Linked DNA regions of Ovis aries. The protein of the gene in region 1 binds, or shares a complex with, the protein of each later gene. Links are inferred from orthologs where the notes say so. Each region holds a gene or a part of one and is shown on either strand. Other genes may lie near its edges.

Region 1 (3,971 bases):
AATATAAAAATAGCTACATATATGTATATATCTATTTCTAAAAGATAGGATTTTTAAAATAAGAGATTTTATAGAAGTCTGAAATTCTCCAATGGAATCTATTAAAGATTCAGCTTATGAAAAAAAATTGCCCACTGGCCTCAAGTTGGAAGTTTTCAGAGATGAAATTCATTTCTTTTTGAGATTCTAAAGTTATAGTGGTTGATTTACTTAAATCGTTTCTTTTAAAACCTTCTTACCAAAGTCCCTGCCTTCATGGTTATTGTATATACAACTTCCTGAACTCAGGTAAATGGTCTCAAGGCTGCAAGCAAAAGGCATCCAATCATACAAAAATGAAGTTAGGAACAGAAGTGGCTGGCAGAGCAGAAGACAACACATCAGTGGGTCTTGGGGTCCCACTTCCTCAGAAGATCACAAAGACATGCTTTTTGCCAGAGAGAATGTAAGGGAACACATCTCTGTGGGCAGCAGAATCCACTGCTGCTAAAGCCATGAAGTAGTAAGGCTGAGTATTTTATAAATGTACTATAATCCCCCAGCTGTCATCTGGGGAACCGACAGCTATCTTAGTACGTGTTCTTGGTAAAAAAAAAAAAAAAAAAAAAAAAGTATGTATTGATATATTGTATCTGACACATAATCATAGTTTGAAAGCAAATCTGGAATTTAACTTTGCCAACATAAAATCAGCTATCACTTGATACTTTAAAAAGCTCAAAGTATATAATTCATTCACTTTTACTGAAGTTTTCAGCCTTTGCTGAGATATCTAAAGCAAAAAAAAAAATTTCAGTAAGATCAAGAAAAACAAAGCTACCATAAGCTAAATACACCAAATCCAAAGTCCTTCCATGTCTCAAAGCATACTGCTACATAAGTGAGAAACATTCTGTGTGTACAATGTATTTGTCACTCACAAAGATAACACCGACTTACAAAGTAATACTCAGTGTTCTAGATAAGCTACCATAAAGATTCAAAGCCTATGTAAATAACTATGCACAGCGCAATCCAAATCTGAGATCAGGCCACATTTTCTCTTACATGGACTACTGACTCCTGATTGCCAGAGGAAGAAAAGTCTTACCTCACTTTGTTAGCATTTGTGGTTTATCACTTCCAAAATGCTCTACAAGACACAGAGATGGAGCAATTCTTACCCTTGGCCTGTGGGGTCCCAACTCACAAGGGGTCATAATTTAAAGGTCTAAACCATAAACACTAAAATGATCTCTTATGGGATTTAGCTGGTGAAAATGGCTGAGACTCTGTGCTTCCATTGTAGGGGGCCTGGGTTTGATACCTGGTTGGGAAACTAAGATCCTGCATGCCACACCAGGCATGGCCAAAAAATAAAAAAATTCCCTAGGAACATAGTTGCTCACGATGTGAGACTGAAAGGAAGTGAGAGAAGAGTACTTCCCACATTACACAAAGTGGCAGAAACACCTACATTCCTTTTTTCTCTCTTTAAACCATGTATATTTATATGAATCTCTATGGGTCAAACATGCCTATGATGCAACTCCACTAAAAGACTGGAAGCTCAGTGCTTTTAATGACCCATTCCCTAGCAACTTTTTCTTCTTTTTTTAAAGGTTTATGAATTTTTATTTAAAAATTAGTACTATTTTTTGGCCACGAGGCATGTGGGATCTTAGTTCTCTGATCTGGGACTGAACCCATGCCCCTGGAGTGGAAGCACAGAGTCTTAACCTCTAGACTGCCAGGGAAGTCCTGCTAGCACCTCCAGTGCAGCTCAGAAAGCTGTGCTGAAATCACAGTGCTGCACTACACGCAGGGAAGACAAAGACAGACTGTGCCAGTTTCATGGGTGAAACTCAAAACAAAAGTTAGGTACTCAACTATATCCCCCAAATTTCCCGTGGTGAAGCCCTAATCATTAGTACCTTAGAATGTGACTGTACTTGAAGACAAAGCCTTTTAAGAGATAATTCAGTTAAAACAGGGCCGTGAGGGTCAGCCCTAATTCAGCATAAGAGGAGGAAGTCAGGACAGAGAAGACACCAGGGATGCACATATACACAGAAAAGGCCATGTGAGGACTCAGACAGAGGTGGCCATCTGCAAGCCACGGACTGAGGCCTCAGAAAAAACCTATCCTGCCAACATTTCCAAAGCTGAGAAAATACATTTCTGTTGTTTAAGCCACCTAGTCTGTGGCAATCTGTTAAGGCAGGCCTTACAAACTAAAACAAAAAATAACAAGAATTTTATGTAACTTTTGGAAGTCTAAAGCCTTTTTTCTGCTTCCATTTAACAACTATCATTAGAAGAATGGAAAATTTTAACTTCCCATCAGGAAGGCTGACTCAAGCAGGCATATTTTTAAAGCTTCTACAGTGAAAACACATTCACCAAAGATGATTCAAACAACATGATGACTTGGAATAAAGGTTGTAAAGCACATGCTCTGTTGCTGCTGCTGCTAAGTCACTTCAGTCGTGTCCGACTCCGTGTGATCCCATAGATCCCCTGTCCCTGGCAAGAACACTGGAGCGGGTTGCCATTTCCTCTCCAATGCATGAAAGTGAAAAGTGAAAGGGAAGTCGCTCAGTCATGCCCGACTCTTCGCGACCCCATGGACTGCAGCCTACCAGGGATTTTCCAGGCAAGAGTACTGGAGTGGGGTGCCATTGCCTTCTCTGAAGCACATGGAGACTGGCAAAGCCTCTTTCAATTATTCTTACTAAATGCAAATTGCTATACTCAAGAGAACACGGGCCTGTACAAACACGCTAGCGTATAATGGTATTAGAAGACGCCTGAGTCAAATCTTTCAAATTTACTTACAGGAAATATTTTACTCAGGTAAAATGAATTTTAGATGTACCAGCCTAAATCTGTGACACTTCATTCACCTACCTGCTAAATGTAAGGGTGTCGAATGTCGGCCTTGTGTATCACGGCAATTTACATTATCTGGTGAAGACAATTTCTTTACTCTGGCTAAACAACCCTTCTTGGCAGCATCCAATAAAGCTGCATCTCCCCTAAGTAGATCTTGAATATCTGTATCTCCTTCTTTAACCAGATCCAAAGGAGTATTTCCATCTCTGTTTTTCTTTGTGGGGTCTGCACCATGCTGGGCATGTGAAAACCAGAAAGGGAAGGTTTGGCTTAAGTTTGCCTTTGGATAACGAGAAAACAGTCAATCTATTTTATACAGAGACTCTGCCTTAAGGGTTAACAGGACTGTTAACAATGCTTAATACACAAAAAATTACAATAAAAAATACACACTTAAATGCTACTGAGCTTTAATAATGCAAGAATATAACCAAAATTTTAAACTACGTTCAAAACAAACTATTTCATTAAAGATTACCTTTCACATATGCTATTTTTAGTTTTCACAAACATTTCAATGTTTGTATAAAGTATAAATTTAACTACAGTTGTGTTTTTACTGTAAAATACCTACACTGGTACCAGTGCAGATACCAACGTACTATCAGTTTCATTATTGCTAAATAAACCTGGCTTATAGTGTTTATAACATTTATTTATTTATTTATTTATTTATTTTTTAGTTTTTTATTTTTAAAATTTTAAAATCTTTAATTCTTACATGCGTTCCCAAACATGAACCCCCCTCCCACCTCCCTGTTTATGACATTTATTCTGAAGTCTAGGTACAGGATTAGTTCTGCTTCCTATCCCTTTACTATTAAAGTTTGGAGTTACAAGTAATATAATATTCTACATTATATACCCTGTCCGTAAATACTTGAATATACCTGAAGCAGAAGTTTGCAAATTTCATATTTTCCTTTGGCTGCAGCTTCATGTAAAGGTGTGAATTTCCATAAGTCAGCTACATTAACCACTGCTCCATGCTTAACAAGAAGTTCTGCAACTTCATAATGTCCATAAGAACATGCATTGTGCAAAGGTACAAGGCCTCTGAAATGAAAGTTAAATAAAAAACACAACACAAAGATATA
Region 2 (4,502 bases), on another chromosome or scaffold:
ACCATTGAGCCAGAGTTTCCAGGAAGAAGAAGTAAGAGTTTGCAGGAAGAAGAAATAAGAGCTATGTGGATTGGAAAAGAAAAAGCAAAACTGTTCAGAGATTAGGTGGTCAGGAAAAACCCCAGGGATCCACTAAAGAATGTTTAGAAATAGTAAACAAGCTCAGCAAGGCAGCAGGACAGCAGATGGGCACACAAAACTCCGTCGTATTTCTCTCCGCCAGCAACAATCCGAAAACGAGACAGGAGCTAGCTCAGCTTTCCCTTCTTCAGGGGTCCTCCCCGACCTAAGAGGGGGCACCCGGGCACAGAAGGAGCACCAGGCTGTCCCACGGGAGGAGCAAAATGCTGCTGCCCTGGGTGGTGGGGACTGCAGGTGGCCTGGAAGCCGCAGCAAGTGGACACGGAGCCCCCAGCCCACTCCAGTCTGTAAGGAGACCTGGAATCTTTGTTGGGGCGGGGGCGCTGGAGGCAGAGCTGAGGACTGACGGGGCCCACCCCTCCTTCTGGCTCCGCACCTGGAGGGGAAAAAGCTGGGGCGGCCCCGCAGTCCCACCCTGGTGAGCTCGGCGGCCAGGCGGGCACAGGCCTGGGAAGGGCTTGGTCTCACCTGGCCGAGGACCCTCTGCTCCTGGTGTCCACCGGTTGGCCGGGCAGCAGGCCTGCCTGTGCTCCACTGTCACCTCCCCTGGGAGCGTCCCTGCCTCAGCGACAGACACCCCCGTTCCGCCGCTCCCCTCCAGAGGGTGGACCGTGGCAGGGCCGGCTTGTCCTGAGGCCCCTGCATCCTCTGGGCCCCCGGCCCTGCCCCGCCACGCTGGGACCTGCCCAGGAGCCCAGCGCCAGGTAGCTCTCTGGTCTCTGCTCCGTGCTAACCCCCACCTTCTCTGAAAGCTGAGACTGGTCTGTGGGACCGAGGCCCGAGGCTGCAGCACCGGAGCAGAGCAGGCAGGTAAAAACCGCTCCTCCTCGCAAAGATGGCCCCACTGGGCTCCAGGAAGTGCAGGCTCTGTGGCTCCCCCTCCCCCTGGCTTGTGAGTCCCCAGGGCATGTGGCCATCCCCGGCAGAGGCCCACACACCCAGCCACTGTCATGGACTGCACGCCCAGGCAAGATGCATGCGTGAGCCGCGCGGCGTGGGCGAGAAGGTTCTGTGCGTGCTCTTCGGCCTGTGTGCACACACGTGTGCTGTGTGAACCAGTGCACGAGAGCAGGGCTCGCTCGGCTCCCCTAACACCTGCAGACCTGCGGCCCTGGCTGTGGCGAGGGAGCCAGCGCCTCGTGCGACCGCAGCGCTAGGGGTTCCTGTCAGTGGTCACCGGCTGCCCAGCTGCAAGCGCCGCAGAGAGGGGAGGCCTGGGCTCCCAGGGTCCCAGGGGGGAAGAGACCGGGTCCCCAGGGCGGTCATTCGCACACTCGCAACTACGCACACACTCACTCGCCACAGGCACACGTGCGTGCTTATACACGCATGCCTGAAGATGCACACTCACTCACACCTACCTGTACACACTCATACATGCCATGTCCACACATGCCCTCCAGTGCACACACAGACTCGCTCAGCTGCTCACACTCACACACAGGCACACGCTCACCCACACGTGTGCATGCTCACGTTCATTCTTACGTGTGTTCACCCTCACACACACCAGTTTGCACTCAAACATACAGACACGCACCGACTCCCACGTGGTGTGCTCACACACACAGCCTCCAGGGGCTGAGAGGACCCTCTGTGGGAGACCCTGTGCCCTGGGCAAGGCAGCCTGGGTGCAGATGAGAGCCACCAGCACCTCCCCACAGCCCTGCACCCGTCCAGCGCCGGGCCTGACCGCTCCTTAAACCGCACAGTGCTGCTCCACCCCCAGGTCACGGGCCCGCACAGGGCACCCCGGGCGCACACTGTGTGCCAGGCCCCATGCTCCTCGGGGATCGCCCACGTCACCACCCCACCCCAGCCCCCCCGACGTGTGAACCAGCGTCGTGCCCACTGGTGAAGACAGCGAGGGTCAGAGATGCTGAGTAACTCCCAAGCCACACGGCCCTGCCGCCCCCAGCCGGGCACACAGCAGGCGCTAGGTGGCGCCTGAGGGGCAGGGCCCAGCCCCTCTGGGTTCAGTCTCCCCTTTCAATTGCTCCTCCCCCTTCCTCTTCCCTGAATCTTTCTCCATAAAAGAATGGAAACCAAAAGAAAAAACCATCTTCCACGAAGGCCAGTGAGCAGCCGCGCCAGGGGAAGGGAGGAAGCACGACCCGCGGTGGGGTCCCTGAGACCCTGAGGCTCTTGAGCCCCCCGCCAGGCACTCCTGCACAGGGCATGGCGCTCCAGGAAGGGGGTGGGGGGGCCGGCAGGCGACCGGGCTCACACAGCTCTGCATTCCTCCAGTGCAGGCACACTCACACACACCATCACACTCACAGCATGTGCACCCAGGACCCAGTGTCCACACCCCCCGGGCAGGGCAGGATGTCCGCTGGAAGGCCCACGCTTACCCGGGGCCTTCTGCAGGCTGCCGGCCGAGCGGCGCAGGCCCTGGGCTCCCACCAGCTGTCCCGTCCACCCCTGGCCTTGCCTCTCCTCCTGGGGCTCGGGGCCAGGGTCCTGTGCATCCCGCTGCCGCCACCCCAAGGAGGGTGGGTCCGGGCTCGCACGCGGGCCCCCCAGAGCAGCTCTACAGGTGCTGGGCCGGCACAAGCTCCCAAGTCCCCTGGGCCGGGTCCGCCCCACTGACCTGGTGGCGCTGAGCCAGCACATGGCTCTCTTCCTGCCTGCTGACGGCCTCGGGGCAGGTGTCCTGGGGTCTAGGAAGGCCATGCGGCTCAGGGGCCATGGGGTGGGGCTTCGGCCAGCATCCCCAGGCAGGTGAGGCGCCTGCTCGCGCCTGCTGACAGCCGCCCGCTGCCTGTGTCTGGGCCCTATGGCCGCTGGGGCTCCTCCCCGCCCAGGACTTCCTGCTGCGGGGGCCCTGGGCAGCCCCGGGTAGCCAGCACTTCCTGTGAGGCCCAGTGCTGCCTGGCCTGCTGGCTTTCAGCCGTGCCCACTGTGGGCAGGCCCCAGGATGAGGCCAGCTGTGACCACCCCCCGCCTCAGGGAGGAAGCCCCTTGGCAGGGTCCCGTCCCCACCCCAAGGCCACCTCTGCAGATTGGGCTTCTTCCCAGCGAATCGGGAGCCCCAAATTCCAGGGCATCAAGCCCGGCTTCCCTGGCCCCAAAGACAGCCGCACACGAAGTCACGACCTTCCCGGGGCGCCCCATGGGCCAGAACACAGACTCTGCCATGCAGCTCCGCCTCCGGAGGCCACTGTGATACAGGGGCCCACGCCTCTCACACCAGGAGACTTTCACGTGTCAAAGTGGCTGCCTCTCTGTCCTCTGACCCCAAGGGACGAAGAACGGATGGGATACCAGCCTTCCCTCCATGCTCCCCAGGCCTCTCTGCCCCTCCCACGCCCACGCCAGGCACAGCCTCTGTGACACAGCTGGGCTCACACACCCCAACGGGGCACACTCGCAGCTCCCCAGCAAACACCTGGCTTGCTAGAAAGCACTTACACCCCGAGTGGCCAAGCGTGCTCCATCACTGCCTGGTCCCTGCCCGGGTCCCACTCACAATGCAGCCCACCCACGCACCCTAGGCCTGCTCTGCCCCTCTAAGCTGGGCTCCCTCCCCCACCCAGGAAGCTGGGAGCGAGGAGTCCAGCCCAAGCTGCTGGGCACTGAGCCCCATGCCCACTGCCTCCCCTCCCCTCCCCTAAGCTCCAGTCTCAAGGTCCATCCCCGCCCCCACTCCCAGCACCAGCTGGGGGATGGAGCACTTTGGGGCCATGCGGCTGCAGGGTCTGAGGGGACCGGCGAGTCCTCAGACACTGCAGAAGCTCGTCCTGTCCAGCCCAGCAGCTGTCCCAGGGCAAGCACCTACAGCCGGCCTGCCAGCACCTGGTCGCACACACATCTGGGTGTCCGGCTCGGGCCTCAGACACACACCCCCGCCCCGCCCCGCCGTCTCCTGGATGGGGGACTTGGGTTTGTGCGTCGTCACTCTCCTCAGGGGGCACCCTGGCCTCCCCTGCCAGCGTCGGCCTCCGTGCCCGCCAGGGTCCGTGGGCAGACTGCGCCTACGGCAGACAGCTGACCACAGCCCAGGGGCAAAGGGTGGCAGGGAGGTCAAGGGGGGCCTCCTCCCGTCCATCCTCACAGCCTGCCCAGAGTGGGGAGCAGGCCCCAGCCAGCCTCTGTCCTGTGCAGGCAGAGGTGGGAGCAGGCAGAGGACCACACCTGCAGGAGCCGCGGGGTCTCCACGGAGGTCAGATCACCCTGGTCCCTTCCCCCACCCTATTGCCTCACGGAAGCCAAGGCCAGGATTCCCAAGGCCCCCACTCCAGGCCTCCTGGTTTCTCCCAGTGACCTCCCATCTCTCCCCGCTCCAGGCCTCCCGGCTTCTCCCAGTGACCTCCCATCTTTCCCCACTCCAGGCCTCCCAGTTTCTACCAGTTTCTCCC

What was found. The genes of interacting proteins can lie anywhere in the genome.
Region 2: the proteins of TNKS2 (region 1) and SH3BP2 are in contact, whole or in part, in a crystal structure (PDB 3TWR), measured with the Homo sapiens proteins. The link is inferred for Ovis aries from reciprocal best matches to the Homo sapiens genes TNKS2 and SH3BP2. Residues at the interface, in NP_079511.1 of Homo sapiens: Arg525, Ser527, His531, Phe532, Gly535, Tyr536, Asn537, Arg538, Leu560, Asn565, Ser568, Tyr569, His571, Asp589, Trp591, Phe593, Glu598, Lys604; in NP_001116153.1 of Homo sapiens: Leu413, Gln414, Arg415, Ser416, Pro417, Pro418, Asp419, Gly420, Gln421, Ser422, Arg424.

What each region holds. Positions count from the first base shown.
Region 1 is NC_056075.1:13,182,411-13,186,381, reverse strand, and holds part of TNKS2 (poly [ADP-ribose] polymerase tankyrase-2), read right to left. Parts: intron 3,931-3,971; coding exon 3,765-3,930; intron 3,110-3,764; coding exon 2,890-3,109; intron 1-2,889. UniProt on the Homo sapiens protein: Poly-ADP-ribosyltransferase involved in various processes such as Wnt signaling pathway, telomere length and vesicle trafficking.
Region 2 is NC_056059.1:116,647,587-116,652,088, forward strand, and holds the start of SH3BP2 (SH3 domain-binding protein 2), read right to left. Parts: upstream 2,962-4,502; 5' UTR 2,834-2,961; coding exon 2,735-2,833; intron 1-2,734. UniProt on the Homo sapiens protein: Binds differentially to the SH3 domains of certain proteins of signal transduction pathways. Binds to phosphatidylinositols; linking the hemopoietic tyrosine kinase fes to the cytoplasmic membrane in a phosphorylation dependent mechanism.